Tamandua tetradactyla: one gene and its partners. The protein of the gene in region 2 purifies or fractionates together with the protein of the main gene of each other region. This does not show direct contact. Links are inferred from orthologs where the notes say so. Each region holds a gene or a part of one and is shown on either strand. Other genes may lie near its edges. The genes, in order: PPP6C, ANKRD28, PPP6R1 and PPP6R3.

Region 1 (7,848 bases), on a different chromosome or scaffold from region 2:
TATTTCTCTTTCCCTATTTGCTTTGGGGTTAGTTTACTGTTCTTTTTCAAGTTCTTCCAGCTGTGCTGTTAAGTCCTCATTTTTTGCTCTTTCGTGCTTTTTAATATAGGCATTTAGGGCAATAAATTTCCCTTTCAGCATAGCCTTTACCATATCCCATAAGTTCTGACAAGTTATATTCTCATTCTCATTCATCTCCAGATAGTTGCTGATTTCTCTAGCAATTTCTTCTTTGACCCATTGGTTGTTTAAGAGTGTGTTATTTAATCTCCATATATTTGTGAATTTTCTCGTTCTTTGGTGGTTATTGAGATCCAGCGTCATCCCATTGTGATCAGAGAAAGTGCTTTGAATAATTTCAATATTTTAAATTTATAGAGACCTGTTTTGTGCCCCAGCATATGATCTATCCTAGAGAATGTTCATTGAGCACTAGAGAAGAACGTATAACCTTGTGCTTTGGGGTGCAATGACCTATATATGTCTGTTAGTTATAATTCATTTATCAAATTATTTAACTTCTCTATTTCCTTGTTGATCTTTTGTCTTGTTGTTCTATCTATAGAGCAGAGTGGTGTATTGAAGTCTCCTATATTATTGTTGAAACCTCTATCACTCCCTTCAGTTTTGTCAATGTCTGTCTCATGTACTTTGGATCTCCTTGATTGGGAGCATGAACATTTATGATTGTTATATCTTCTTGGTGAATTGGCCCTTTAATTAGTATGTAGTGTTCTTTTTTGTCTCTTATGGTGTCTTCACATTTAAAGTCCATTTTGTGTGGTATTAGTACAACTACTCCTGCTTTCTTTTGGTTACAACTTGCATGAAAAATATTTTTCCATTCTTTCCCTCTCAAACTGTTTTTTATCCTTGTGTCTAAAATGAGTCTCTTGTAAGCATAATACAGCTGGATTATGTTTCTTAATCTATTCTTTCAATCTGTATCTTTTAATTGGTAAGTGTAGTTCTTTCACGTTCAAAGTTACTACTGAAAATGTGCTTCTTTATTCCACCACCTATCTTTTTTATTTTATTTGTCAGATCTATATATTATTTTCCTTCTTTCTCTTTGTATTTAAAAAATTACTCTTAGTGGTACTCTTCAATTCTGTGCCCTTCTCCAGACCTCCCTCTCCTGTTTTTTTTTTCTTTCAACCGGCTGAACTTCTTTTAGTATTTCTTGTAGGGCCAGTCTCTTGTTGACAAATTCTTTCAGTTTCTTTGACTGTGAAAACATTAATCTCTCCCTCAATTGAAGGACAATTTGGCTGGGTATAGAATTCTTGGCTGGAAGTCTTTCTTTTTCAGGATTTTGAATATATCATACCACTGCCTTCTCACCTCCAGGGTGCTAGTTGAATAGTCTGAAGTCAGTCTTATTTGATTTCCCTTGTATGCAGTAGATTGTTTTACCATTGCTGTATTCAAGATTTTCTGCTTCTCTTCAACATTTGACTGACTGATTAGTATGTGCCTTGGGGAGGCCTAAAATTAGATTTATTCTGTTTGGAGTTCTTTGGGATTCTTTGACTTGTATATTTGTGTCCTTTATGAGGGTTGGAAAGTTTTCCCCCATTATATCCTCAACCACCCTTCCTAGCCCTTTACTCCTCTCTTCTCCTTCTGGGACACCAGTGATTCTTATATTTGTGTGCTTGTTTTGTCTATCGCTTCTCTGAGTTCCCATTCAATTATTTCCATCTTTTTTGCCTTTTGCTGTTTTGAGTCTTTGAAGTCAATTATCCTGTCCTTTATATCTACTATTCTTTCTTCTGTCTCTTCAGATCTGGTGTTGTGTGCCTCTAGTATGTTTTGCATTTGTTCAGAGTCCTTAATCTCTGTGACATCCACTATTTTTCTATTTATTCTTTCAAATTCCTCTTTATGCTCTGTCTTTTTCTACTTCTACTTCTACTGTCTTCTTGATCTCCTTTATGTCATTTGCTATTCCACTTATTTTATTAAGTAGAGTTGTATGAACATCTTTGATTAGTTTTTCCAGTGTCTTTGTCTCCTCTGGTGTTTTAATTTGGTCATTAGGTAGGGCTATATCTATCTGCATTGTGATATGTTTTATGATCTTCTGCTGTCTTCATTGCATGTAAATATCTTGATTGATTTACTTTGGGTGTTGATTTCCTTCAGTAGTCTAATGCCTTGTGTTTATGGGATTGTTGTACAGCAGGGAGCAGAGCATGGAGTGGGCACTCTGTGTGGTGATTTGTTTCAGGGAAGGTATAGGCACAGGCTGGGGATGTTATGCTGATGCTTGTGAACGTGGGTGCCCAGCAGCTGAGGAGGATATAGCTGTGAGGATGCACCAGTCTGGGGGGGCAGGAGGCGTAACCCTGGTGTGTGCTGGAAGAAGGCACGGGGCCCTTTGTACACATGTGTAGAGCTGTGGCAGTGGTTGGCGTTATGCCTTCATGGATTGGGGGCTGATATGACCTGGCTGCTCAGGTCAGCATTTTCTCAGACCTGGGAAATGTGGCTGAGGGCCATGCGCATAGGGAGTTCTAGGGCTGCTGTAAAGTGCGGTTCCCAGAGCCGAATGACATGATTGGGGGTTCGTGCGCATGCGTGGGTCTGCGAGTGCCATAAATAGATGCACAGAGCTTAGGCAGGGTGGAGTGAGGCTGTGCAACACTATGGGTGGGGGGGTCGGGGTAGCCTAGGTGTGGAGGTTAGTGCCTGCAGCCTTTATGCACTGGCAATAGCCTGCAGGGAACAGTGAGGGGGAGGCAGTGCTTGGAAGGTGTGCAAGAGAGGTGGGTTGGGCTGCACTTGGGCTGGGGGTGTGGGGCATGTATGTGCACTGGGAGCTGGTGGGGTGGGGGTGCTTGGAGTGTGGGGAATGGGAGTGGGTGACGGGGTTCGGGTGCATGGAGTGTGGGATGAGTTGCCGTTCACAGGGCTGCGCCAGTGAGGGTAGCGCACCCAAGGAATGCGGCCTGGCTTACTTCCTAGTCCCAGGCTCCTGTCCATGCACACCCATGGACTCAGTGGCTCTGCGCATCCAAGCCACGCTCCAGCTTTCTGCCTCTCAGTTCCTCGGCCTCTGCAACCAGGGCTGCTGCATGTAGTGCAGAAGGCTCTCCCAAGTCAGGAACACTTTCGAATCGCCACCTTGGTTGCCCTCCTGTCCCTTCTCTAACTTTTCCATGGATCAGGGCTAAGCTCGAGCTAGTCTATTTGGCCATTTTCCCTGAAGTCAGTACCAATCACATTTTGCAATTAAATATTTGCTAATTTACATTTTTTTTGTTTCCCCATCAGACTGTAAGCTCCCTAGTTGTCTTACATCTGTCTTATTCACATCATAGGTACTATATACCTCTTTGTTGAATAATGAAGAAATGAATGCTTGTGGGAGGCATTAACTCTGCAACAAACTTATTTTTTAAATTAATTTTATTTTGATACAATTTCAAATTTACAGAACAATTACAAGAATAGAACAAAGCACGTCCCCCAGAGACCTCATTAAAGTTTTGCCAATTGTCCCCCAAATACATGTTAGAGCAAGAGGAGAGTGTCAGCTATTATTGGATTTTCTAACAATATCCCAACAGGTCTCTCAGCTGCAACCATTTCCTCTGCCTTACCCCATACAGAACCAGAGTGATTCTTTTAGAACAATTTAGAACATATTTCAACTCCACTCAAAATTCTATAATAGCTCTCCAGTCTTGTATTTTCTAAAGACTCTGGAAGCGCTCCTGTCTTAGCACTTCCTATTGAGGACTCCACATCTGCTCTTGCTGATCAATTCCCTCAGGTATCTGTGCGGTTAATTCCCCAGCTTTTTTTTTTTTTTTTTAATACATTACCCTATCTCCTTAATCCTTTTTTTTTTTTTTTTAATAAAAATCACTTTCTAATAATATGGTTATTTTTGTTATTTTTTGGGCGCATGGTCCGGGAATCAAACCCTGATCTCCCGCATGAAAGGCGAGCATTCTACCACTGAACCATCCGTGCACATTCTATATGGTTATTTATTATGTTTAATGTTTATGTTGTCTTCCTCTGCTAGACCGTAAATCCATTTTGAGGGTAGGGAGTTTTGCTATTTTATTTGCTAACTACCCTAAACCCTTACGATCATACTTGAAACACAGCTGATGTGCAATAAACAGTTGTTAAATGAATGAATATTAAAGGCATGCAATATGCCAAGTACTGTTCTTGGCGCAAGGGATACAACGAGAAAATCTATGCCCCGTGGGACTCACATTTAAGTATGCTTAAACCAGCCAGACTTATTTTTCCATTTTGGCCCCACCGCTTATTCCCTGAGCAATTTTGGACAAGTTACTTTAAGCTCTCGGTTTCCTATGAATTAAATGTGATGAGAATTGATTTAACAGCATTTATAAAGCATTTTGCATAAGAAATGTCTGGATATTTTCCCCCTTCCTTCCGGGCAGAAAGATTGGAAGCCTGACATCTCTGCCACAGATTTGGTGGTGGTTGTTTTTGTTGTGCAGATCCATGGATTTCTAAAATTTTTATTCAATAATATATACAATCTAAGATGTAGGCAAAGTTTTCACAAGGCCTTTGAAAAGTGTAAGCAGGTTATCATAGTCTGGGGGCCCCAATTTTAAAGTGACTTCAAGGTGAAACAGAGAGTGGTGAAAAGGGTCGGAAACTGCGTTTTGCATCCGAAAAACCTCGTTGGGTTCCTCGAAGTGAAAATCCCGAAGGAGGGAAGGGAAGGAAAGGAAAAAAAAAAAGAGTAGCTGGCCGCGAAAGCACACTACAAGTCCCAGCAAGTCCCGCGACGACAACTATGGGTCCCAGCAGGTATCGTTCGCCGACCGGAGGCCCTCCTCCCTCCCCCTACCCGCCGCGGCCCCGAAGGGCCTGCAGCCCGGGTTCAGCCAAAGAGGGCGTAAGGCGCACGGAGGGAGCCAAGAGAATCGAGTCAAGCTTTAACTTTGCTGCGCAGACGCCTCTCATGGGCCGGACGTGACGTAGGAAGAGTTCCGGCTTCGGCATCCGCCGCTGCCGCCGCTACAACATCTACAGCCGCCGCCGCCGCCGCTGCGGTTTGTACTTCTAAAATGGCGCCACTAGACTTGGACAAGTATGTGGAAATAGCGCGGCTATGCAAGTACCTGCCAGAGAACGACCTAAAGGTGAGCTCGTTGAAGCGGGCGTCCTGCTTGCTGGACTCGCCTCGTCCGGCAGTAGTGGGCCCTCCGGTCCTCCTTTCCTCCCTCGGCGGGACCCTTGCTGTGGAGGGTCCAGCAGGGCGCAGAGTGAGCAGGTTCGACCTGGTGTTACGCGGGGAGCCGAGCGAGCCTGCGTCTCAGGAATGCTGTTCAGTTTTCTTCAGTGGGGATCCGCAGGGATGTCGCGGCCTCTGCCCCAGAGTTGCCCCTCCTGGCTATCGGACTCCGAGCCCTGACTGCGCTAGTTATAAGACCCCTCTCCTCCTCCTACTTCCGGGTCTCCCATAATCCAAACCAAGCCCCAGGCCTAGTGTTCTTGGGAGGGGGTCGTCTCGAACAGAATAGATTGGAGCTCCGGGTGGCCGGCGTCTGACAGGAGATGCCGCCTGCGTCCCAGAACGCGGCCCTGGTGTGTTTAGGTTTCTGAAGCATCGGAAGACGATGGCCCAAACGGTTTGGTAGTGATATGGGAGAACATCAGGTCATCCCTCTCTCCTCACCATCCTCCCGAATTGCGGGTTTGTAATGTTGGTTTGGTTGTTTTAATTCGGATGTGAATCCCCTTTCTGGGTTATATGTTGAGTTAAATTTAAGTCGATAAAGTAGTAGGCCCTCAATAAGTACACATATTTCTCTACTCTTTAAGTCGTTCCTCCCTTCTTACCTCAAGTTTCCACTTTCTTGGTTTTTAGAGGTGGTGTGTTTTTCCTTGTTGCTGCAAGCCCTATTAACAGAAATGTTTGCATGAATTGGTGTACAGCTTTTTTTTTTCTTCCTTGCGTGGGCAGGCGTCGAGACTCGAACCCGGGTCTCCTGCATGGCAGGCGAGAATTCTGCCATTGAGCCACTGTGGCTCGCCCGGTATACAGCTTTTTAAAGAAGTGTTTCTGTGTGCTTGCTAAAAGCAATGCTTAGATGTCTGCAAGTGTTTACCGTGTAGGGCAAGTGCCTGTTTTACTTCAGTAAACTTTTATATTATGTGGTGAGTGGGTAAACTGTTGACAGTTCCGCTTAGTGTTTAATCTGAGTTTAAGGTAATTTACTTTGTTCTGTGAATATTTTCTCTTAAGGAGGAGATACTTGCTTTTTTGTTTTCCTGTCTTGTCCAGGAAGTTGATACTTAACCTGCCTTAGTCAAGAAGTATTCCAAATGGTTAAGGTCACTTGTGCTGTTGTGAATGTAACTGAATGGTTACATGTTGATTATATGTGTTGTATGATAGAAAAATCTCTCTTGTGCATTTCCCCTTTTTAATAGAATAAATTAATTTAAATGAGGACAGAGAAATAGTAGTAGTAATGTAGCTTTCGTGCTCTTAGAATCCTTCAGATATTAGTTTTGTGGTTTGATTTCTTTTTTTAATATATTAGCCATGTGATTTTATTTATTTATTTAATTTTATTTTTTGTGTGGCTTCTTTCTGCTATGTACTTTTTCATGAGACAAGAACACAACCAACATTGGGACCCAATTCATGGAAATTTACCAGACCTGTTTGGTACAGTTGTTAATCCCATAGGTGAAGTTGATAATTGCATATCAATGAATTGAGATGATATTTTGTTTTCTTTTTATCTATCATATGAGAAGCTGTTTTTTTCCCCCTGGTGTGCGTTTGTGTTTGTGCACGTGTATACACATGGACATGGACCAAGAATCAAACCCAGGTCTCCCACATGGCTGGAGACCTCCGAACCTGCTTGTGTGCTCTGTGAAGTTGTTTTGAGTTTTATTTTATGAATAATAAAATGTCGCTTGTTCTTATGAAAAGGTGTCTTGATATTGAGTTGAAACTGAGTACTGAAATGATTTGAAAAATAATCAGTTGAAGTTTCTTCAGGCCTCTTAGATGGATAAACATTAGATTCCCTTTCCATTTTAAGGAAATATAGTTATTAAGTCATTTCGTTTCTGCTTAAAATACAGCTGAACTGTGGTTTTTATCTGTTTCTTAATAAACTTCTTGATCTGGAAAACTACTGAGAAAAAAGTTATTTTTCTGTTTAATTAGAGCTTTCCTTCTATGTCTTAAAACTGTTTTTATGAGGTTACTTGTGCTGCTCATCTCTGGTGTGTTTAAAGAAATTTAATTTTGTTTCTGTTCCTTGGCATGAAGTGCAAACTAAAATAAAGTAGGCCAGGAAAGTATTGCAGTGGCACCTTTTCAGAGGTTTTAAAGCCCAAATAAAAGGTTATTTCAGAGGAAGAAAAGAGACCATTGGGGCCACCTAATGACCATAGTGGAAGAAAGTTGTTTTGGTAGAAAAGAAGGTAACAGGAAGTTACCCATGTTAGTTTTTGTTTTTTAAAAAGTATTTTTATTGAGAAATCTTCACACACATGCAGTCTATACCCATGTTAATCTTAAATTGACTAGACGTTGGAGGTACTAGATCAGATAGTAAATGCATAAGATGTTTTGGATCTAATCAGGAGGTCTCTGTATTTGAGTATTTGGTTTTTTTTTTTTGCATGGGCGAGTACCAGAAATCGAACCCCTGTCTCCAGTATGGCAGGCGAGAACTCTGCCTGCTGAGCCACTGTGGCCCAGATCTCTGTTTAAATTGAAAGTGATCAGATCACTAGTTACTGGATTGAATCTACTTTCTTTGAAGGAATAAGAATGAAATATGTAAAAATGAGTGGACAAAGTATAACCTTTTT
Region 2 (7,966 bases):
CAAAATATCCTTCAGAAATGACAGAGTCTGGGTGCAGGAGTAGTTCGATGGTAGATTTCTCACCTCACTTGCAGGAGAACTGGGTTTGATTCCCAGCTCATGCACTTCCCCAAAAAACAAACAAGCAAACAAACAAATTCAACAAAGGGTGCTGCAATAATGGGATACTCAATAGAAAAAGAATGAAGTGTGACCAAGGACATACAGCATACAGAAAAAAAAAAGGTGTAATTAACACAGATAAACAAAAGCTGAAAGAGTTAACTACCAGAATACCTGCCCTATAAGAAAATGCTAAAGGGTGTCCTATAGGCTGAATAAAAGAACACTATGATGTAACTTAAAGCCATAAGAATAAGTAGAGAACTTTGGTAAAGATGACTACATAAGTAAATATAAAATCCTCTGTTACTGTACGTTGGATTTGTAACTGCTTTTTCCCCTCTTTATGACCTAACAGGCAAATATGAAAAAAAAATTAGAAATTTATGTTAATGGCCATACAATGTCTAAAGATGTTATCTGAGACAGTAATATGAAGGGGGAGGGATGGAGATATATCGAAGTCGAAAGTTTGTATACTAATTTTGAGAACTTTTTAGAAATGGAAGGGGCTTCCAGGTGGAAGCAGAAATAGAGGGCAAAATGTCTTTCCTCTGTTGTAAATGGATTTCTAGCTTTCAGGAGTGGATTTTCTTTTGAATGAGGATTCAGTTTATTTGATTCAGTGGAACACAGGAGCCTCAGTTTATCATCCTCTGCCTCGCTTGGTGTCAAAATGATGAACAAATGCAAATCTGTATCAGTATCTACAGAAAAGTTCAATGATAGAAATCCTTGACAAGGATAGGCACATGAAGAGGCAGGTAGAAGATTGCTTCTAAAGAGGGCATGATACCCTGCTTTCCTGCCAGCTAAAATGTTTTTCCAGCCCCCAGGCTTGCCACATCCCCAAACAGATAATTCACTGTAAATGCAGCCATAATAGTGACTAGGATGGATCTCAACTCACTGACCTGGGATTCCTCCATGCCTGGGAGGAAAAAGTAGGAAAAGGGTAAGAATAAAGTGGAATAAAGGAAATTAAACTGAACTTTTCAAACACATTAATACTTGAGCACTTTATAATTAATATAAGGTATGACCATAAGTATCTGTGTTTTTGTTGTACATACTGTTAGGTAGGAGACAGCTCAATTTTAGTAGGGCTACAGTCATTTAAAATGGTTGTTCAAATTAGGTTAAATAATGTCAGCATAAGATGGATTAATGATGGTAGGTGATTTTGAGATTTGAAAAACAATGAAAATTTACTAATATGTTCTAGAAGAAAAAAAACTTTAATTTGGCTTGAAAAGTAATTACCTGAAGAAAAACCACATCCTCTATGCTATTTCCCTAACTGAAAAAAAAAGTTGAACTTAAGAATTTGCACAATCTTTGTCAGTAACTTTTCATTCAAAGTATTTTTTTTCATTCCTTAGTTTTTAAAATATTTGTTTACTTGTCTCTTTTCAAGATGTGAATTTTTTGAGACTAGAAATCCTGTCTTAAGTCAGTACATGTTAACAAGATATGAAGCAGTGCTGTACTGTAGAACAAACTTAAATAGTAAAAAATGTTGTAGTATTTAACTCAGTATTTTTCTTATCTGACTTTGATTATATATCATGGGCCAATACTTTAGATTCTTCTCTTTCCCCACCCTATAAAATAGGAGGAATATGGAAAAATGGAAAAAACCTGTTTACTGTTCCCTCCCCCCAGTAATACTTAAACTCTTGGCTGGTTACTGGAGTCTTTAAGACCAGCTTCTAGCAGTTTCTCAAGAGGTCTCTGAAAAGTGTGGGTACTTAGCAACTGAATCCCTAGATAGCAGTCTGAATGCCTCATGGGTTATGGGAAGCGGCAGGGGTGGGTGTTGAGTTCAGTAGCCCTTTATCTACTGGTTTCACAAGGGCTAGTATTGTTTATCCATCCTGAATATCCTTAGTAAGATTATTTTGTTGAACGTTCAAAGTAACACTGTGATATATATTCTGTTAATGTCATCTAATAGATGTTTAAATGAGGCATGGAGAAGTTAAATATTTGTCCAAGGTCACACAATTTACTGTGAAGCCTTTATTAGAATCCAGGTAGTATGTCTACAAAGACTACATTTTCACTCGATATACTATTACATATTATTCCTTGATAAAATCTCTGGGGATTATTAATCATTCTTGTAAGTGTGAAGAAACTAGGCTAAGGGAATTTAAATAGCTTGTCCAAGGACAACAGCTAGTAAATTTTGAAGTCAGAATTTGAGCTCCAGGTAGATGAGTGAGCCCTTAATTTTTAACCATTATTTATATCATTGATTTACATTTGATCAACTTCTAAATTTTAAGATGCTCACTTACTAGAGATAGAAATTTCATTTTGTTGCACCTTAATGCCATCTATGTTTTCTCATTTAAGTACATATATGCACCTTGAAAAAAATTTGCATGTTGGTCTTTTTAATCTGCCACTCTATTGTAGAGTCTTGTGTCAGAGTATATTTGAGTGAAATTATTACATATGGCAGAAATTGGAAGGAAACTGTGTATATAATACAATTCCTGCCTTCAAATATCTTGCTCTGTGGTTGGAAGAGACCTAAGTATTAAAGTTGACCTAGAGCAAGAAACAGGATACTACCTGTTTTAAGTCTGAGTATGTGAACTTAAGCGCTGATATTTTGGAATAAGTTCAAATTCTACATGTAAAAAGAGATTTAGTTTTGAGGGTGAAAAACCCTTGAAGAGGAAATATAGAATATTGTTGATAGAATGGCTTCATTTTCAGGTATAGCAAATAATTAAGATACTGTTTTTGATTCAGCCATTTGGGGGATAGCTAACTTCATTTTTGTATGTCAGAATATTTGCATGCCTTTAATTTGGCTTAGACCATTTTATATCTATTATAACTGTGAACTGTTTGCATATTTTAGTACCTTGGTATAGATACATTAGGGTTACAGGTTTTTTCATAGATTGATATTCTGTAGGTTTTGATGATTTTTGTTCTTAAATTCTTTTGTTCTTATCTGTATACCATGCTCCCACCCTCCCATTCCCCCTTTTATGGTTTTGACAAGTAATCCTACTCAAACATGTGAGTTAAGACTGGTCCTGAAATACCCATCCCCAAAAAAACTTGTTTTAGAGTATAATTGCCATTGATAGCATACTCCTTCATTCCTGGAACTTTTCATAACCATTATAGATTCCCAGTCTTTTAAGATCACTTTTGCAAGCTAGTATTTTAGGTTGCAAAGATGTTGAGTGTGAATATATGTGTACAAAATGGAAGCAAAGTAGATGAGTAAAAGAACAGCTTTACTAGTTTGCATGACTTTGAATAAAATACTTAGTTTCTGAGTATGTTTTTCCCCTATAAAGAATAATAGTGTAAAAGGGAATTTTATAAAGCTTAACAGTAGCTAATTTTTCCTGCTTAATTTAGCTATTTATATATATTTTAGCTTCTGAAATATCCAGCAAAAGCATTTGTGTCATTTTATATTCACGGCTATGCATTTAGTGTGAGTTAAGAATTATAAAGAAAAGAATTATGGGCCCCATCAGGCTGAAGATAAACAATCCTGGCGCCAAGGTTACTTGTTGTAAAACTGTTAAAAAATGCTTATTGTAAAACTGTTCTTATCTGCTTTTTTGCAAAACAGCACCTGTGACCCATGCTCAACCCCCACCCCCCTCATCTTACCCTTTAAAAAGCTTTTGCAGACTTAGGTTCGGGGCTCTCTGTTCATGCGTGTTCAGCGAGCCCCACACATGTGTGGAAAATAAACCCCTTGCGTGTTGCATGAGAGAACGTCTCTTGGAGTCCTCCTTTGCATGGCAAAATTCTCGAATTCTTACAATAGCAAGGTTATTGTATTAAATAAGAATGTATAGCACCTAGCATATGTGTTCAAAAATAGCTATTATGTTTATTAATAAAAATACTAGTTGACAGCAAAATGAACACAGATTGAAGGGGGACCAAGGTATTTTCTGGATTTTTTCTCTTGGAAAGTGCCCCATTATTGGGTAAGCAGATAAAGGTGGGGGTGGAGAGTAGGGATGGCAGTTAGGAGATGGTGGGTTCAGGTACTTATTTGTAGATTTGGGAAGATTATTTTGTGAGGGAGAGAGATTTTTTTGCTTTCTTCTTTTTTTTAATGATTCTTTGTTTTTATTGCATTAACCTGTGCCCTTTTGACATGCAGATAATCTAGAACCAAGAGTTTTAAATACTTGTTTTGTGTGTAGCTGTTTAACAGGTTTTAAAGCATTATTTCATTTTTCAGAAGGAAGATGCAATTAATTTCTTCAGTGAAAATGTGAACGATTCATAGAATTTTAGATAGGATTTCTAATTTTTATTTTTTCAATTTAACAATATGAATTAATGATTAAGTTCAACTATTCAAATATTGTTAGCAAATAGTAAATCTGCCTTGTTTAAACTTCTGTGGGTTCTTGAAAATAGTGTAACATCTAATAGATTAAAAATGATTTTGGTAAAAAATAAAAAAGTTAAGGTTCTATTCTTACTGTATTTCCCCTTCATCTCTAAATCTCTTTCATGAATTCATTGAGGACCTATTATTGCTGCTGTCATTATAGGGTTAAGTATTTGCTATATTGTAACATACGAAAGCAGTTAGGCTGTTCGGAATTGTTTACTTGCTAAAACCAGTGTTAGTCAGCAGAGGCAGTGCACCAGATTTCCTTGTGGCTTTTAGTGGAAAATGTTAAAAGCGCACTCATTTTTCAGTTATAGAATTTTTCAGTTTGATCTGGATTAGTCACAGAACTGGCATGAACCGTCTGATTGTGAAGGCTGTCCAAATGTACTATTTTTTTTTTCTCCTGCTAGAGGAAGTTACATCCTGAGCAGTGGCTCAGATCTCTGGTAAGTGTAACATGTGAGCATTACTAGGCATTTCATCCTGCGGGTCTGCAGTCCTTTGCTCTTCAGACTGTTGCTCAGTTGGAATGCTTCTTTGGGACCGATCCGAGGTTCTGTACGTATTTTTCAAGGACCCACTCATTTGGGAGTGTCACTGGCGTTTTGCAAGATCATCTAAGAAACAGGAAAGCGTCTGAAATCTACTGAGAGGGATAACTGTAGCGGTTTTCTCAGTGGAAGGAAACTATATTGGCACAGAGGCACATGATTGAATAAAGTAGTTTGTTCAAAGAAGATGCACAGTGTGTTTTTTCCCTCTGAATGAAGACTATTTAATGGATGCTGTATTTATATGGAGATCAAAGAAGACGCTGGAATGATAAGCTACTTTGTTATTTTTATTTTATTCTTTTTTAAATGAAAAGCCTGAAGCAGTAATTTGAGCTCAAATGCCTTCTAATTCCTTTGCAGCCTGCTTATTCTGTTAGGATTCTCCACTAACACCATTTCTCCCTGTTGCCTGTACCCTTTTACTGGAGCAGCTACAGACAACTGCCTGATGAAGAAAGAATGAACACTATGCCTTGCTTATGCTATCGATGGAAATAAAGCCATCTCTGTTTATTCTATTATTTGGGAAATCTGGATTAATCAAGCTGCATTCTAGTACCAAGAGTCCTATTGTCTCTTATAGCCTGACTCATCGCATGTAAATGTACTGCAGTTTTGCTAGTAATGCAGAGTGGTTTTTTCCCCTCCCAAACAGAGAAAGAATTGTCAGCCTCTGAGCGTCATTTTCAGAATTTGTGCTGAGCTCTAGGTGTTTGCTTTTTTTTCTTCCTTTTTCTGGATAGTATCTGCATTAAACCAGTGAAGCCAAAGAAACGAAGACAAATTAGAAGTGGAAACAGAATAGTGAGATTTTATTTTTATTTTCAGTTATAAGAAGGCCAGCTATTGGTAACTGTATGACCTTGCAGACAAGAGTGGGTATAGCCGTGATCATCTCTGTCACAGCAGTTGTTTCTCATTTCATTCTACATCGTGTGGTGGTGTGTCACCAAAACAGTGACCATTTTGTGCAAGTGAATTTCTGTTAGATAAAGCAATATGACTATTTTGGTAGGGGGAAAATATTTTTAAATGAGCTTGTACTGGACTTAGTTTTAGTTACTGACATGTTGATGTGAAATTTCTTTTAAGTATTGCGGTAATCTAATAGTAAATATTAGAATTTTGTTTTTAGGGACTTATAAGTTATATAGTACTTATTAACTTTAAAAAACCAGCTGTGCTGTTCACAGAGAATGTTTTTAAGTGTTGTACAGAAGAGGAGGAAAAACTACTTGTGCCCTTTCAACTGTGACTTTTATCATATAGTTTGGAATTTAGTATTTTAAAAGAGCGAATGAGTCGAGTGTGTATTGTTGTTTTGGAGGAGGTAGAAGATGAATCTCCTGCATTCATTTCTAAATTGCCACAGGAAAATAAATCCCATCATTCTCCATCTTCTGGAAATGTATTGGTAAGATATGTTAGTTTATATGTTTACTATAGCCTACTGAACTATTAGGATAAATTTTTAAAGAATATTATATATTTTCTAATTTTTTCATTATGAATCCAAATTAAAGCAAATATAGGTGTGCAAGTGTGGTGCAGTATTTCTTGTGTATAACATGCACACATTTCTGATTTTTACTTTTGCAGATGCTTAGATAATATTTCAGACTTCACTCTTTTAATCTGTTAAAAGAAGATTTTTAAAAACAATTGGAGAAATAGTAGCCATGGCAACCACGTTTTTGTTTTCATTTTTGTGGTTTTAGAAACTGCTGTAACAAAAATAGGAACTCTGCGTGTTTTAGGAAAGGTTGACTACTACCAGTAAAACAGAAATATAGCCTTTTCAGTATGGATTTTATGTATTTAGATGCAAGAGTTTAAATGAAAGAGAATCAGACTTCATCCTTAACCTTATTTTTAATGCTGTTGTCAGTTGGCTTCTTTTTTGCCCAGTATAATATGATACCTTATCAGAGAGACTGGGTTGTTGATTAGGAAATTATTATATTTAGACATGAATGTGCTTGTCTCTTTGTGTCATTCTGTTGTACAGTATTTTTTTTTGGTCTTTGGATAGTAATTTTCATCAATTGCCAGATTTGCTTTCTTAGAATTTATATTTTTATACTTATAATGGTAACCGACACAAATTATTTTCATGCCCCAAAGAGAACTTTTCAAAGTACTCTATGTATATAATTCATGGGCCTCGGCATAGTTTGAACACTATTTGTTTGATAAGTTTTGTCCCCCTAGTAGATGTTGGGTGTCACATTTGTATTTGAAAGAGACTTTCTTTTTACCAAACATACGTATTTAAAAAACCTTCTAATAAAACAGACTCTGATTGTCCTTTTTTTTTTTGCATAGGCAGGCACCAGAACTCTGGTTGTCTTTATTATACTATTTAAATTTGGTCCAACGGAATTTTTTTTTAATTAAGCCCTCTTTTTTTGCAAAATAACTCCTCTACCTCGCTATGATTTGGCTTCGCAAAACTTTTGATTAATGTAATAAAATGATTGGTGCTACAAGGAAGAAAATTTTTAGATTTAGGAGTTGTGTGAAAATATCTGTAGAATCATCCATGTGTTAAGTGCAACTAATATTTTATTGCTTTCTTATATTTTAGCCATCACTGGTGCAAGCTATATTTAATGGAGATCCTGATGAAGTTCGAGCACTAATATTTAAGAAAGAAGATGTTAACTTTCAGGTAAAACAATTCACTGATACTAGCTTTTAAATCTGCCTTTTAAAACTCTTGGAATTTTGATTTTTGTTTAAAAGTCACAGCACAATTCTTTAACAGTTGTTTTCAGTGCCAGCGAAAGAGTTCTGAGGCAGAAAAGGAAAGAGACTGGACATGTATTCAGGGTGATAATTAAAAGTAAAAGAGTGCTAGAGGCCAATGAGGGTCCTTTATTCTCTAAATTTTTACTTTGAAGTATTT
Region 3 (7,102 bases), on a different chromosome or scaffold from region 2:
GCCTGTCTCTGCTCAGCCCCCTGGAGGGGTGCTGAGAAAGGACCGGGCTCCAGGGGCCCCACCTCCTGCTTTCAGGCTCATCCCCCCCACCCCGAGCCTCTTGTCCACACTGCTCTTCCAGCAGAGACGGGGCTCCTCTCCCACTGCCACTTTGTCACCTCCTCTGGGTGCGTAGTGGTGGAGGGGCGAGGTGCGGGCCGGGGCCTGAGAGACTGGGGAGGGAGGGGAGGAAGGCCGCCTCGGGAGCTTGGGGTAATAAAACTCTTACTCCTACCACCCACAGAGCCATTGCCTCACTTCACCTTTCCAGCCTCTCTGGGATGGGGTGCAGGCACATCTAACCTTCTCCCTGCCCCCCAACTTCTCTGAATTCTCTTATGTTTCGGGAATTCCCACCTTCGGCTTCCAGGCCTCCTAAGGTCAGGTGTTTTTTCCCCCAGCATCAGAGCCTCCTGTACAGGTCTGCCGCCGGCAGCTGCTGCCTGGAAAGGACGCTTGTCCAGAGTCCACGGCCCTTGAGGCAGGGTGGAGGGGCGGGCAGTCGAGTCCCTGCCCAGGCCCCCCGTGGAGGCAAGGCTGCTGCGTGTCCCAGCTGCAAAGTGCCAAGCCCAACTCCACCTGCTCTGAGATCTGGGGGTCTGTCTGCCTTTTCTGTTTGCCTAAAGTAGGTTTCTGTTGATGCAACTAAGGGCCCTGCTGCAGGAAGCAGAGTCCGAGAATCTTGCATCCAGGATTCCAACCTAGGACTCATCCCAAAGCCCTGCTCCTCCCCAGTGCCCTCGCTTCCTGGCCCCATCTGATGCCAGGTCATTACTTTTGCATATACAGCACTTGCCTCATACTTTTGGGATTTTAGAGGGCTTAGTTAATTTCAGTTCTCTTCCATTCTCAAATTCAGAACAAATCGAGGCAGCTGTGGGAACAGAGAGTTGGAGATCCAATGTCATCTCGTTTATTTTTGAGCCATTTACATCATAGCTGAGGAGTGTTGCTTCTACTCTGCACCAGCATTAGACCAGCACTTCTGCCTCAGGCAGCCCTGGGCAAGCAGCAGCCTTCCCATGGGTGGCAGAGTGGAGGCCAGGGGACAGGAGTTCTGGGGCCAGCCTGTCTCCAAGAGGACAGGAAGTTGGAGGGCTGACCCCAGCCTGGGGGGGAGGGGGGCAGAGACATGCCAGGAGAGAGCCACTGGTGGGGGGTCCCCCACACCGAGCCCTGGGCTCTTTTGTTGTTTTAAAAGTTCCCTCCAATTCTTAGGCAAATAACATCTTCCTGTGAGTTCTGACAGGAGCTGAGACCCAGATTTCAGACAGTAAAGCCCCTGGAGCTTCCTGGGTTGGGCAGACTCGGTGCCTCAGCATCTGTTTGGTGGTTGAATATGGCCTGAGCCTGGGTGTTAAAACTGTGGCAACTGTGTAATCATATGTAGGGAAAAAAGCAAGGAAAATGATAGGTAAAAGACAGAAGAGTGCAACACAAAAGAAAAAATGATTCAAAGGACAGAAGGAATTTCTTCACAATTGCTTCAAGAGTGTAGCAATCAGAACATGGGTCTATTGAAACAAGGCCTTTAAAATATTTTTAAAAAAAGATGAAAAAAGGAACAATGGCAAACCCAAGGAAGTAAACTAAAGTTCTGGTAAGTTAGATTTTTCACCAGAGATTCACCCCCTCCCCTCCCACCTTCGTGGGAAAAGTACATTCCCTGCCTATGGCACGTGGAGCCCACCAGCCCATACTTCTTGGGCTTGGCCAGGTGATTTGCTTTGATCAGTGATGGTGGCAGATGTGAGGCAAAGGGAGATGTGAAATGTGCTTCCAGCTGGGCTTGATCTCTTGGGCTCCTGCCTCTCCTGAAAAGGAACCTTGGACAGCCCTTTGGTCCCATCTGTGAATGTAATAAATACCACCAAGGTTGTGGTTGTCATGCAGCGTTAGCTAACTAATACAAGGAGAAAACAACATCATGTGTGATAAACATACCAGAAATAGCAAGGACCAAAGGGGACATGGCTGGAAAGTCAAATGACAGAACCAGAGAGGTGGCAATGTGAGAAGAACTGAGCCCAACATCTCTGATTTTGAAGATGGGGGTGGGGCTTCAACCCAAGGAATGCAGGTGGCTTTTGGAACCCGGAGAAGGCCAGGAGGTGGATTCTCCCCCAAAGCCTCAAGTAGGGAATGCGCCCTGCGGTCACCTCGAGTCACTGGAGACCCATGGTGGACTTCTGAGCTCCAGAACGTAAGATAATAAATGTTATTTTAAACCACTTTAAAAAAAAGCAAAACAAAGGACTGACATAGTAGTGACAGTGAAGGCAGATGAAAATGACAAAGATTAAAGCAATTACCAGCTAACGCGTGTGAAATACAAATGCATAACCGGCATTCTTGAAAAAAAAACGAAAAACTGAATCAATAACTAAAATGCATAAAATACAAAAAATGTCCCCAAAATGCAGATTTATAGAAAAGGGTTAAGTCCTTAAGTGCATTTATTCATTTGATGCTTACAGTGAGCTGCTAAGTGGGCAGGACGGGGCTAATTGTCTCTATTACAACTGGGGAAACTGAGGCTCGGAGCCAGACAGGACCTTAAAGGACACTGACCCTAAGCCTAGGAGGCCCGCGCAGTCGATGTTGCTCCAGAAGTCTTTGCAGCAGCGGGCAACAGCCAGGCACCGCCTGGACCGAGGCGCGGCGGCGGCGGGTGGAGGCCATGAGGGAACACCCGGAGTGGATTTCCCGGCAGAAGACCGAGAAAGGTGAAGGGGCTTCCCAATGGAGCCGGAGGGAAGAGAAAACCCGGAACAGGGTTTCCACTGGATTTCGGAATGAAGTCGTAGAACTGGCTCCCGGAAGGGCAGCGGCGCCTGCGCATTCCTCCGTCTGGGTTGACTTGGGGAGAGACAGTTGGCACGAGCCGGCGCAGGCGCAGGCGCAGATCCAAAGCCCCGGCTTAAGGAAGCGCAGGCAGTCGCGACGGTGTTCCGGGTGGGCGGGGTAGGGGAGCCGGGGCCTCGCGCGCACGCGGGCTGCAGGATCCGCCCGCGCTGCCCCGCCGCACCTGCGCACCGAGAGGGCCGCGGGCAGGCGGGGCGTCCTGCGCGCTCCGGCGCAGGGGATTGTGGGATCGTGGCGTCGGGCGTCGGAGGCCTGAGGCGGACAGTAGGCTCCCGGGACCCGTCGGTTTGGGGAAGGGGCGGCTGAAGGAAGCGGGCCTGGGCTTCCGCTGGCCGCTGCTCGGCTCTGCGGCTTGTAGGGACTCCGGAGGGCGACGTTTTCCCCGCCCGCCCTCTTCGTTTCCGCGGGGCGCCGGCCTGGGCCGGGGAGACCGGAGCGACTGGGGCGACTTCCCCCGCGCCCCGCCGAGGCCCCTGCGCGGGTCCTCGCGGCCCGGCCAACCCCCCGCCCCGCGCCCTCGACCCCCGCGTCCTTCCCCCTCGCCTGCGCTCAGCCCGCAACTCTGCGGCGCTCGGCGCGCGGGGTCCCCCTTTGACCCGAGGGTGCCTGCGCGAGACCCCGACGTCGCCCCCCGCCCCCACATACCGGGCCCCTGAGCGGGGGCCGGAGCCGCCGGCGGCGGGGCGAGGGGGGCGCCCCGATGAGCCCCGAGTGCGAGGAGCCGCCGCCCCCCCACGCAGGTGAGCCGGCCCAGCCCGGGACCTTTTTCCAGAGCCCAGTCCACCCCCAGGACCCCCTCGAGCCCCACCTAAGTACCCTTCGCGGGTCCCAGTCTTCTCCCTTTCGGGTCCACCCCCACCTTTGTTCCCTGGAATCCTTCCCTCTTCCCCTGGACGCCTCCTCATCACTTCCCCCCCCAAGTCTAGAGAGTAGCCTCGGCCTACCCGCCACTCTCTTCCACCTTTGGCTTTACCCCGGCAGTCTCTTTCTCCTCGCTCCTCCCCTTCCCCCCAAGAGTCCCTCCGTTTTGCACCTTCATCTGTTATTACGGTGTTTTTCTTCTCAGTCCCCTCTTCCCCCTTCCCCCCTCATCTCTTCCTCCTGCCCCCCATCTCTGCCTTACCCCCACCCTTCCCTGTTTCCTGCCTTCTTGGACTCGTTTGCCCTCTGCCTGACCCTTGGGTTGGGGAGATAGGGGAACGGGGGTTTCCCTTCTCCCTTCCTGTGGGTCCGCTGCCCCTGGCTGCCTCTGGCTTCTCCTTGGGAGGAGAGGTTTAGGACCTGGGATTGTCTGGAGGTGTCCAAGTCCTGGTTCCAAGTCTGTGAGACGAGGCCTGCCGAGGGCAGGGCAGGTGCTTCATGCTGGGCACAGAGGGAGGTATCCTGCCCAGCCCTGCCCTGGAGGGGGCTGTGTCCCTGGGGAGATACAGGCAGAGCTGGACAGTCACAATTGCTATGAGGTATTGAGATAGAGGTAACTCAGGGTGCCGCAGGAGGCTGAGAAGATTGGGGACCGGGAGACTGGCGGGGCCGGTGGCTCTCTCTATCTAGGAAGGATGAGTTGGAGTTGACAGATGGAGAGTGGGAGGAAGGGCATTCCTGGTGGAAGGAACAGCGTGTGCAGATATGTGAAGGTGGGCAAGTTGGGGGTTCAGCACTGGGCGGCTCCACTGGAGTGCAGACGTGTTGGGAGGGAGTGGTCAAAGCTGGAGCCTTGAGTGGGACTTTCTGTGTAGGGGTGTTTCTGGCTAGCTCTTTTACACACATACGTGTGTGTAGATACATATACACACAGACACGTGCACATACATACACACATGCATTTACACACAGACACGCACTGAACATCTGCACTGAGGACACAGTCGTTGCCCTGACACTGGCCCAAAAAGCAAGATGTTTCTGGAAAGGAAGATGCTTTCAGATGTGGTATAGTGGGTTCAGAGCTGTGAAGACTCCGCGGGGAGTTTGTCCAACTCCAGGTAAGGTTCAGATCACCAGCACACAGGGTGAACATTGCAGTGACTCACAGTTGCCTGGAAAATCCAGCCTGTGTGGTTTACATCCATATTCTGTAGAATACTGTACCCAGGTCTCAGAGGCCACCACACCCAGAGACAGACACTGAGGGGAATGGCAGTGGGAATTGGTTGCATTTTAAAAAAGTTATGCTCTGTTTTTTTGTTTTTTAATTTTTTCCTAATGTGCATCATTTTGTGTCTGTTAAATGAGGCCATGTGACTCGATTTTGGGTGTTTTATGGCACCTTTGGGAGGCAGTGAAGGCCATTGGTTTAGAGCGAGATGTTTTTTCATCAGACCTAGGTTTGAGTCCCAGCTCTGCTGTCTGGTGGTGAGACCTTGGACAAGTTACTCAGGAGCTGTCATCTGGAGAATGGCGGTAACGGAGGGCCCTCCTCTCAGGGTTGTTCTGTGGATCAGTTCCATGTTTGTGGATGCCCTGGGCAGAATGCAGGGCCCAGTAAGTGAAAGGAATCCGGAGTTGTTAGGTTATTACATTTGCCTTGGCATCACCTATGGCATCTGTTCTCAGCTGGGGTCGCTCTACTCCTCTGGGGACACCTGGCCATACCTGGAGACGTTTGTTTGCCGCATGAGGGCGCTGTTGGCGCTGGTGGGTAGAAACCGGGAATGCTGCTCCCGTCCTGCAACGCACAGGATGACCCCCCAGCAAAGGAGCACTCAGCCCAAACGTCCCTGGGGCTCAGGTGCAGAGACCCTGAAGGCTGTTTGGATGGTGCTTGGTTCGGGCTGGACTGTCCTGTTGCTTCCAGTGAGTGGCTGTGTGGATGTGTGAATTCTTGTGTATTTTGATTTGCTTTTGTCTTTCTTTTTTCACTACCACCTAAAACATTTTATTTTTAAATGTATCTTAACTTTATTTTGAAATAATTTCAAATTTACAGAACAATTGCAAAAATAATACAAACGCTATACAGGAACTCCAGCATACCCCCCCACCCTCCAGATACCCAGATCTACCAATTTTAACATTTGGCCACCTTTGCCATATCATTCTGTTATCTCTCTCTCGATTATGTATCTATTCTCTGGATAGTTGAGATCAGGATTGCCCGCCTGCTCCTTGGATACATAAAACTGTCATGCGCATTTCCTAAGAACAAGGATGTTCACTTATGTAACCACCATAAGCGCAGTTATCCCATTCAAGAAACGTAAAACTGCTATAGAGCTTACGTTCTGTATTCCTTTTTTTGTCCTTACATCTCAGTGTCCTTTTGATCCTTTTTCTCCTCTGTTCTTAGATCCCATCCAGAATCATGTATTGCATTTAATTGTCATTATCTCTTTGGTTTAACTTTCTCTTTTTCTTAATTGTGGATATATATAACACACATAGATACCGTAGATCCTCCCATCCCAGCACACTGTAGAGTGTGAATAGTCACCTTCACAATGTTGCAGTACCTTCCCCTCCATCCATAACTGGACCTTCCTTTTCGCCTCAAACAGAAACCCTACACTCATTTTCCGTTAACTCCCCATTGCCTCTTCACCCTCCCCTGGTAAATTGTACTCTACTTTTTGTCTCTATGAGTTTGCATATTCTCTGATGTTTTCAGTGTGGTTATCGTGGGCTTAAATTTAACATCGTAAACCTGTAACTATCCTGTTTGCATTGACACCAGTTTAGCTTCAATAGTGTACACAGACTATGTTCCTATACCCCTCCATTCCCCCACCTTTATGTCATTTTGTCACAAATTACTTATTTATACATTGAGATCAAAACCATTGATTTATTAAACTTTAGGCATTTGGCTTTTAGATCCTGTAGGAAGTTAAAAGTGGAGTTACAAATAAAAAATAGAACAGTATTGGTGTTTCTAGTTACTTACCTCGTTACCCTCACAGGAGATTTTTATTTCTTCCTATGACTTCAGTCAGTTGTCTAGTGTCTTTTCCCCCAGTAGAATTCCCCTGTCTAGTATTGATGAAGTCCCTCAGCTTTTGTTTATCTGGGAATGTCTTAATTCCTCCTTCATTTTTTTTTTCACTTTTTAGATTGTATAGTATAAAATATATATAAAGCAAAAGAAAGAAAAAAGCAATAAGTTTTCAAAGCACTCTTCAACAAATAGTTACAGGACAGATTGCAGAGTTTGTCATGGGCTGCTATACGATCCTTTTTCCTTCTAGCTGCTCCAGTGTGTAGA
Region 4 (7,583 bases), on a different chromosome or scaffold from region 2:
ATCCCTGGCCTCTACCTTCTAGATACCAGTAGTACCCCCTTCCCCAGTCAACCCGAAATGTCTCCAGACATTGCCAAATGTTCCCTGAGGGACAAAATACCCCCAGCTGAGAAATGCTGATCTAAAGTAAACTTAAAAATCAACCATCTGAGGTTCTCTTTAGGAAAAAAATGTGAAAGCTACTTTAAGCCAAGAATCTATGTGTATATTTTTCAGTAAATCCTCACTCAAGAAACAGCAGCTAACATTACCAGCCCACCCTGGACACTCTCAGACCTTGAGGACCAAACCACAGATTCTTGTGTTTTATATGACATAAAATCAATGCTGAGTTTTAGATGAGAGGAACTTCATTATCAATATCATTAAGTCTTAAGTGTAGAAAAATATTGTCAAATTTTAGACCAATATATACACAGGCTGCCTCTCAAATATCCAAAATACAAAGCTAGAAGATTCAAGCTTATCACAGAAACAAACTCAATGCTGATACTGACACATACTCTGCTTTATCAATAATAAGCACATTATCCTTGTACCTACCAAACAGAAGCAAAAAATCATCTTAAAGAAGCAAAGAAAACCTCACAGTGCCAAATCTTAATTCTATTACTATCCATTTCCTATCCAGCTATAGCAATTCTCAATGAGTGAAAGGAAACTACCAAGTTTTTGGTGTTTTGCTAAACTTTACACAAAAGAAGCTAAAGCTTTCTAAACCTAAAACAACCTTCTTCCTATTCTTAAGTTACACGACAAAGATTCTCATCTCTACTTAAAAATAAGTCTATCTACATATACTTCCCCAGTGCAATAAAGCAAGTCAGGTCCCAAACAAGTAATACCAAGAAAGGAAAGCATGGTTTGAGTACCACAGCTGGAGAAGAGCAAAGAAATAAAAGATGGTGAGTGTGACCTGGCGGATGACATTTTGTTAAATATTCTAGACTCCCTGATCAGACATACTGAAACGCAAAAGAGCTTTCAAAGCATCCACTACCAAGGACAACAGTTATTTTCCCAAACTTCTTCAGTGAAGTATATCTCAATATACAGTACCTTTTCAACATCTTAGCTGTTTTAATTCAAACCTCAATAACAAAGTACATGAGTACACTGAGAAACTCCGGAGTTATTTATTTGGGGCCAAATGCTGACTTACTAATCACACCCAAATAGTACCCACAAGCACATGAAGAACAGGGTCCTACTCAAGTTTTTGATGGGCTTTTCTGTATTTAACCACCTCTTAGACAAAACATTCTGAGACACCACCACAAATTACTCCAACAAAAGTATGTTATTTGATGACTCTTCAACCACCCTCAACCCTGAAAATAAAAACAACTTCTAGTTCCTCTTCTCAGACCCAACTGTCTCTTAATTACACAAAGCTTTCTAACGAGAGTCACCAGTCATCAAGAGCAAGGGCTTAACCATTCATCTCACTTCCTAACAGTATCTCAGTATTTAAAAATCAAATTGAAATTATTAACAATAGCCATTAATTACCGGGTTGCTCTCTGTGTGTCAAGCACCGTTCTACCTGCTTTACCTAAAATACATTAGCTCACTCCTGACAACCCTGAGGTGGACACCATTATTCCCATATTACAGAAGCAGAGGTTGAGTAACTTGCCCAAGGTCACAGAGCTAGAAAGTGGTCAAGCCAAGCTCTGAATCCAGACAATCTAACTCCACAGCGAAAGAAGCTCAGACACCACCACTAACTAATCAAACACTCGCCAGCGGTTGGACATCTGGGCTCCCTTTCCCAGTGGTTACCTGCCTGCCTCATGACCTTGAGGGCAAAATCAAAGTTAACGTCCCATTAATAAAATGGGACAGTACGAACAATAACAAGTGCTGTGACGATGCGAAGAAACTACAGCGTCCCTCCCATAAAAGCAACGCATAAACAACTCTATCCGACCCCCAGAGAAGATGTGCAGTAACCGGGGAAATGACGTTAAGTTACGAGGCTGGGGCGTCAGGTCCCAGAGCTCTATACCCAAAGACTCGTGGGTCCACCTGCAAACTACAAGTCCAAGTGGCAACCGAGGCAAGCAGGATCTCGAGCGAAGAAAGTTCCCCGCGAATGGGCTTCTTTAAGAGGGAGGTACTTCAGGCCACATGAAGGACCACCCCCCTCGCTCATATTCGCCAGGGAAGCTTTGGCGACCAGGTCGCCGTTCGAGTCACAACACCGGAGTTAAAAATCACTTGGAAGGGGACGTTAAACACTCCGAACTGGTTTTTGTGTCTTTCGATGACTCTGCGGCGAATTAACAGAAGCCCACAAAACTTGTTTCCCGGAGCACAGAGTCCAACAATGGCCGTCGCGAATCTTCACAGCGAGCTGCTGCCTCAACTTGACACGCTCCCGGGGGCCCGCACCGCGAAAAGTTCTCCGGGAGCCCGCGGCCGGGGAGACCCGGGGGGAGGGAAAGACGGCCGGTGCCTCCCGACCCTGCGCCGGGCTCTGGGCGGCGGGGCGGACAAGCGGAGCTCGGAGCCCGGTGAGGGGCGCGCCGCCGCCGGCCGCCGCTCAAGGCCGCGAACGTCAAGGCGGGCGCAAAGTTCGCCTCCCCGGCCCGCGTCCCGCCCCCGGCGCCCGGCCCGCAGGGGCCCCGGGGCGCGCGGCGGGCCAGCCGGGCGGCTGACAGCGACGGACGGGCGGGCGCGGGCCCGGACAGGAGGACTGGCCGCCGCGCCTCCCGGGCCCGCGGAGCGAGCGGATTCCGGGGGGGAGGGGAAGAGGGGCCGGGACGCTCCCTCCCCGCGCAGCCCAGGCCCCGGCGGAAGGCCCCGCGCGCCCGCCTGCGCGCCCGGCGCGCCCGGCGCCGCGGCCCGCCCCGTCGTCTCCCCCCCGGTTACCTGGAGGTGCCCACGACCCGCCGCTAGTTGCGCTCAGGCGGGAAACGCGCTCACCGACACCATCAGCGAAGCGCCCAAAATGGCGGACGTATCAAGCAGGCCTTGAGCTCCCCCCGCCCTCCCTCCGGACGCCTCACGGCCAATCGCAGCCCTGCCCCCGCCCCCGGCTCTACGCGCATTGGTCTCGCACTCCTGCCCCCTGCAGCCTATTGGGTCACCCAGCGGCTCCGCGGCGTCCACTCCGATTGGCTCGCGGTCGCCGTCAGTCAGGCTCGGGGAGCGCATTCTTTTCCCATGGACTTGACGCATCCGGAACCTTTAGGACCCCGGGGTCTGGCTGGAGAAACAAATCAGAAACCAGGAGAAACCCGGCGGGGTCCCCCTGTGCCGTAGCAACAGCGGGCCTCCACTTGACGGACGCTTCTGACCACCAATCCTGTAGGCAGTGCTCTTTAAGACGAAATTGAGCCAAACCAATCATGACCGTGGAACTGGAGCTTCAGGGGAACCAATGGGAGAACGGGCCGGCAGGCGGGGCTTCGTGAGGACGCCGCTGATGACGTTTCCCGCAATGTGTTGCCCGGCGACAAAAGCACCCCCGAGCGGGGGAATTAGCTCAAATGGTAGAGCGCTCGCTTAGCATGCGAGAGGTAGCGGGATCGATGCCCGCATTCTCCACATCCAAACGCTTTTTTTTTTTTTTTTTCCAGGGAGCTTCCCCGAAATCCTGAAGTACCCCGTCCAATCTTCATCTCCTCAGTAACGGAGTAGAGCAGCTCTTCCAGAAACGAGGGCGAAGCGACGAAAAGGGTTCTTGGCATGTCCCTTTTGTCTCCCAAAACGCTCGTCCGGGTGACCCCTGACCCCGCATGTCACCGCCAGTTCCCTCGCTGCGAGACCTCCTCGACTTCGGGACCCCGCCCCGTGCCCACCGCGAGAACGGGGTCGGCGCACCGGCAGGAGGGCCGGAGCTCGAGGTGGGCGATGAAAGGCGGGACAAGGTGCAGGAAGCCCTGGGGCTCCGTCCGGCGCCGAATTGCACCCCAGGTGGTGTCCCGGAGGAGGCTGGTGCGGGGGCGCCTTCCCGAGCACCGTGCTCAGAGCCAGGCGGCCTGGGGCGCTGGGGGGCTGGGGGGCGCGTGGCGGGGCCCTGCCGAGGAAGGAGGGAGGAGCCTGTGCACAGAGACCCCAAGGGGGGCTTTGGCGCCCTCGTGGAGGTGGGCCTGGGGGGAAGGACATGGCAAGACGAAGAGGTGGCAGGGGTGGGCGACAAGGCCGGGTCCCGGGGAGGGGGTGTGCTACAGAACTTGCCATTACGTTCAGAAGACCCCAATAGTCTCCAGTGCCCAGACCTCAGGGGCCTGGGAGCCCCGTAGTGCTGGCTGGGTCAGGGGTGGCCGGTGCCTGCTGTGAGCTCCTCCAAGCTGCCCCCAGGAATTCAGGCCTGGGAAACGGGGCAGAGCTCGGCCAGGGGGCGGGGACAGGACCTGTCCAGCAGGGCACCTGGCTGCACCCTGGATCTCCTATCCCTGCAGCTCGACGCCTCTCTGCGCCTCTCCCCACCCTTTGCAGGGGGGGCCTCAGCTGGCCTGAGTTCTCTCCTCCTCCTTAGTCAGACCTTCAGGGACCCGCTGCCAACCTGCAGGGAGAAACGGGCCGATTTGGGTTGGGTCAGCCCCCCCACACACACACACACACACACACACAAACACACACACACACACACACACACACCTGGGGTGGGGAAGCTGGGGTTCTGGTGCAAACGTGACCTCCTCCCCAGCCCAGCTCGCCCCTTCAGCAGAGCCTGCGGCTAGAGGCAGGGTTCACTGCTGGCAGCCTCAGAACAGTTTTCTCATCCCCGCTTTACAGATGATTAACTAAGGCCCAGAAGCATTTGAACACCCTAACCCTTACTGGCTGGACGACTTGCCGGGTAACCTGACTGCCCTGACTCACCTGGGAAGTACAGTGGCGACACCTTCCAGCCTGAGTCTGCCCTGAAGGGTGCTAGACCTCGAGGAGGGTGGAGGGTGGGGCGGGTGGGCAGTCTCCCAGGCTGAATGCTAGAGTCCTGATCCTACTGCTCAGAGAGGTCCCAGGGCCAGAGGGGGCAGCCCAGACTGAAACCCATTTCTGGGCACGAGGAAGGGAGGGCCACAGAGGGAAAACAAGAGCACAGCACCCGGGGAGGGGGTGTCACAAGATTGAGGGGAAAGGATGTGAAGCAGGTCAGGAGCAAATCATGGAGGTCTTGGATGACAGGTTAAGGAACTCGGGTTTTATGCCGGGACAGTGGGAGCCAGGGAAAGTTTCAGAGCAGGAGAGGTGTATTCAGGACCACCTGAATACTTTAGAAAGGAGGGATTGGAGCAAGAGGGGCGTGCTGCAGGAATCCAGGCAAGAGGGGCTGGGGCTGGGAGCCCTGGGACAGGGTTGGTGCCTGAGAAGGAGGCTGAGCCAGGTCTACCCCGCCCTCTTGGGGAGCCTGTGGAGACTTCTGCCACCCTCTGATCCTTTTATTCATTCATCATCAAAGGCTTTGCCAGCACCTGCTGTGAGCCTCCCCATCCCAGATTCTGAGGTGAGTCACGGGGCCACGTGCACTATAATTAAACCGCAGTACTTCACCCAAGGAAACGTCTCCAGTCACGGTGGGCTTCCAACCTAACCAGAGGGGTTGAGGTGAGGGAGGGCTTCCTGGAGGGAGAGGCATGTGAGGGTAGCTTGTCCCTTGAGCACCGTGGCGAACCGCAGGAAGTGATTTTGCAGCTCTGCATTGTATCCAGACTGGCCTCCCCATCCTAGAATCCACCTTCCCAGACTTCTAGATTTCAAAGGTCACCAGTTTTGCCCTTTTCCCCCAATGGTCTTATGGGTTAACTTTTAATACTTAAGTTTTCAATCCTGGACTTTTTAAAAAAGTATATAAAAATTGGCCAATACATTCAGAAGTAGGGAGAAGAGTATAATGAATGCCTTGTATCCAACAATTACATTTGGGGACAAATATAGAACAACCAAATTTCAATTCTATCAAGTAATGATAAAAAGACCATATCAGTTTCGCAGGGCTGCTGCCACAAATCACCAAAAACTTGGTAGCTTAAAATAACAGAAATGTATTCTGTAACAGTTCTGAAGCCAGAAATCCAGGAGTGGGTAGGGCTGAAGAGCCTGCTTCTGTCTCTCTCCAGGCTTCTGGTGGCTGCCAGCACTCCTTCGCTTTCCTTGGCTTGTAGACACATCACTTCAGTCTCTGTCTCCATCTGTCTCTGTGTCTTCTCTTTTGTCTCTTAAAATGACACGCCATTGGACCGGGGGCCCACCCAGTTAATCCAGAATGAACTTCTCGTGACATCTTTAGCTTAATTTTATCTGCACAGACCATTTTTCCAAATAAGGTCACACTCACAGAATCTGGGAGGGCATATCTTTTGCGGGGGGGGGGGGGGGGGGGGGAGGATACGAATTCCACTTATTATTGCCATGATTTCATAAAAGACATCTTAACACACACTCAGGAGTGACTAGCTCACTAACTTCTTTTCTGCTTTCACCAGGGCAGCATCCACCCCAGGCTAGCACTGGTCCGCCGGCTGGCGTGGGGGACCTCGTGGCAGAAGACGTGTCCTAAAAAGGGCCAAGGCTGGTGTCCAGCAGCCCAGCTCCTGGCTGGTGCTGGGTTGGGTCGAGAGGCGATGCGGTGGAGAGAAGGGGACAGCTGGGGGCTCTAGTGAGCTATGAAGCTTTGACACATTTGAACATGGACATGGAACCCTTCTGTTTCTTTTCCTTTTCTTCCCTGCATTGAGATTCAGCCTGGGGTGGGAAGGAGGTGAGTATTTTCCTCTACCAAGGGATGGGGGGTAGATGGAAAGGCTGGGGGTGCTGAGGACCAGGGTTACCAGTGAGCTTACGGGGTAAGAAAAGGAAAGAGGGCCCATGGGTGAAGAGAAGTAAAGGCGTGAGACTCTGGAGGAGGAGCGAGAGAAGAGGAGCCAGCTAGGGCTTCCTTGGCGGGCTCTCTGCCCCTCCATCTGAGGCTGTGTTCAGCAGAGACCCCATGCTGTGAAGAGCCAGCTGGAGAGTCTGCAAGGAGCCCTACAGGGGCTGGATGGGATCCAAGCCCCCACCCACCTTCCCTTCCACCCAGGTTTCCCAGGGGTAGGATGCTCCCCCACCCCCACCCCATCACCCATGTCCTGGCTCCCCCAACAGCCACGTGGGTTTTGTCCCACAGTCCGGGGGTCCTACCTCAGTGTCCCAGGGGAGCTGTAGGCCCAGTGGGGGCTGCTGGACCCAGGGCAGGGAGGGAGCCCCCATAGCCATCCTGGAACAAGGATTAGAGGAGGGTACAGCTGAGCCACTGGCGGGGAGGGGGTCCATTACACAAGGGACACCCCACAGGGCTTGAGTGGTGGCCAGTTAATTTAACCTCATTTAAGGCACAGCTCAGGCATCGCCTCCTCCAGGAAGCCCTCCTGCCTTCCCGGCTGCACTCAACGCCCACTCTGGGAAGTTGCAAGTGCTATTCTTTCCCCACCAGTTTGGAAACCGAGTCGGCCTCAATCCCTGGATTTAGAGCAGCATTGAGGGAGGGCTGTGTCTGACTAATCTTACAAGTGACGTAAGCAAGGGCTCTGTACACCACAGATGCCTATGTAAACTGGCCGATTTATTTGGCACCTGGTAGGAGGCCAGGT

Evidence for each region.
Region 1: the proteins of ANKRD28 (region 2) and PPP6C purify together in Homo sapiens (affinity purification with mass spectrometry; 9 studies listed by BioGRID and IntAct, with this or other methods). This does not show direct contact. The link is inferred for Tamandua tetradactyla from reciprocal best matches to the Homo sapiens genes ANKRD28 and PPP6C.
Region 3: the proteins of ANKRD28 (region 2) and PPP6R1 purify together in Homo sapiens (co-immunoprecipitation; 4 studies listed by BioGRID and IntAct, with this or other methods). This does not show direct contact. The link is inferred for Tamandua tetradactyla from reciprocal best matches to the Homo sapiens genes ANKRD28 and PPP6R1.
Region 4: the proteins of ANKRD28 (region 2) and PPP6R3 purify together in Homo sapiens (co-immunoprecipitation; 3 studies listed by BioGRID and IntAct, with this or other methods). This does not show direct contact. The link is inferred for Tamandua tetradactyla from reciprocal best matches to the Homo sapiens genes ANKRD28 and PPP6R3.

Annotation. Positions count from the first base shown.
Region 1 is NC_135328.1:47,350,903-47,358,750, reverse strand, and holds the start of PPP6C (serine/threonine-protein phosphatase 6 catalytic subunit), read left to right. Parts: upstream 1-4,841; 5' UTR 4,842-5,072; coding exon 5,073-5,147; intron 5,148-7,848.
Region 2 is NC_135341.1:72,721,688-72,729,653, forward strand, and holds the start of ANKRD28 (serine/threonine-protein phosphatase 6 regulatory ankyrin repeat subunit A), read left to right. Parts: upstream 1-4,959; 5' UTR 4,960-6,355; coding exon 6,356-6,472; intron 6,473-7,645; coding exon 7,646-7,729; intron 7,730-7,966. UniProt on the Homo sapiens protein: Regulatory subunit of protein phosphatase 6 (PP6) that may be involved in the recognition of phosphoprotein substrates. Involved in the PP6-mediated dephosphorylation of NFKBIE opposing its degradation in response to TNF-alpha.
Region 3 is NC_135342.1:4,459,932-4,467,033, forward strand, and holds the start of PPP6R1 (serine/threonine-protein phosphatase 6 regulatory subunit 1), read left to right. Parts: upstream 1-4,097; 5' UTR 4,098-4,478; coding exon 4,479-4,538; intron 4,539-4,737; exon of another isoform or gene 4,738-4,886; intron 4,887-5,222; exon of another isoform or gene 5,223-5,298; coding exon of another isoform or gene 5,299-5,304; intron 5,305-7,102. UniProt on the Homo sapiens protein: Regulatory subunit of protein phosphatase 6 (PP6). May function as a scaffolding PP6 subunit. Involved in the PP6-mediated dephosphorylation of NFKBIE opposing its degradation in response to TNF-alpha.
Region 4 is NC_135335.1:6,105,070-6,112,652, forward strand, and holds the start of PPP6R3 (serine/threonine-protein phosphatase 6 regulatory subunit 3), read right to left. Parts: upstream 3,005-7,583; 5' UTR 2,878-3,004; intron 1-2,877.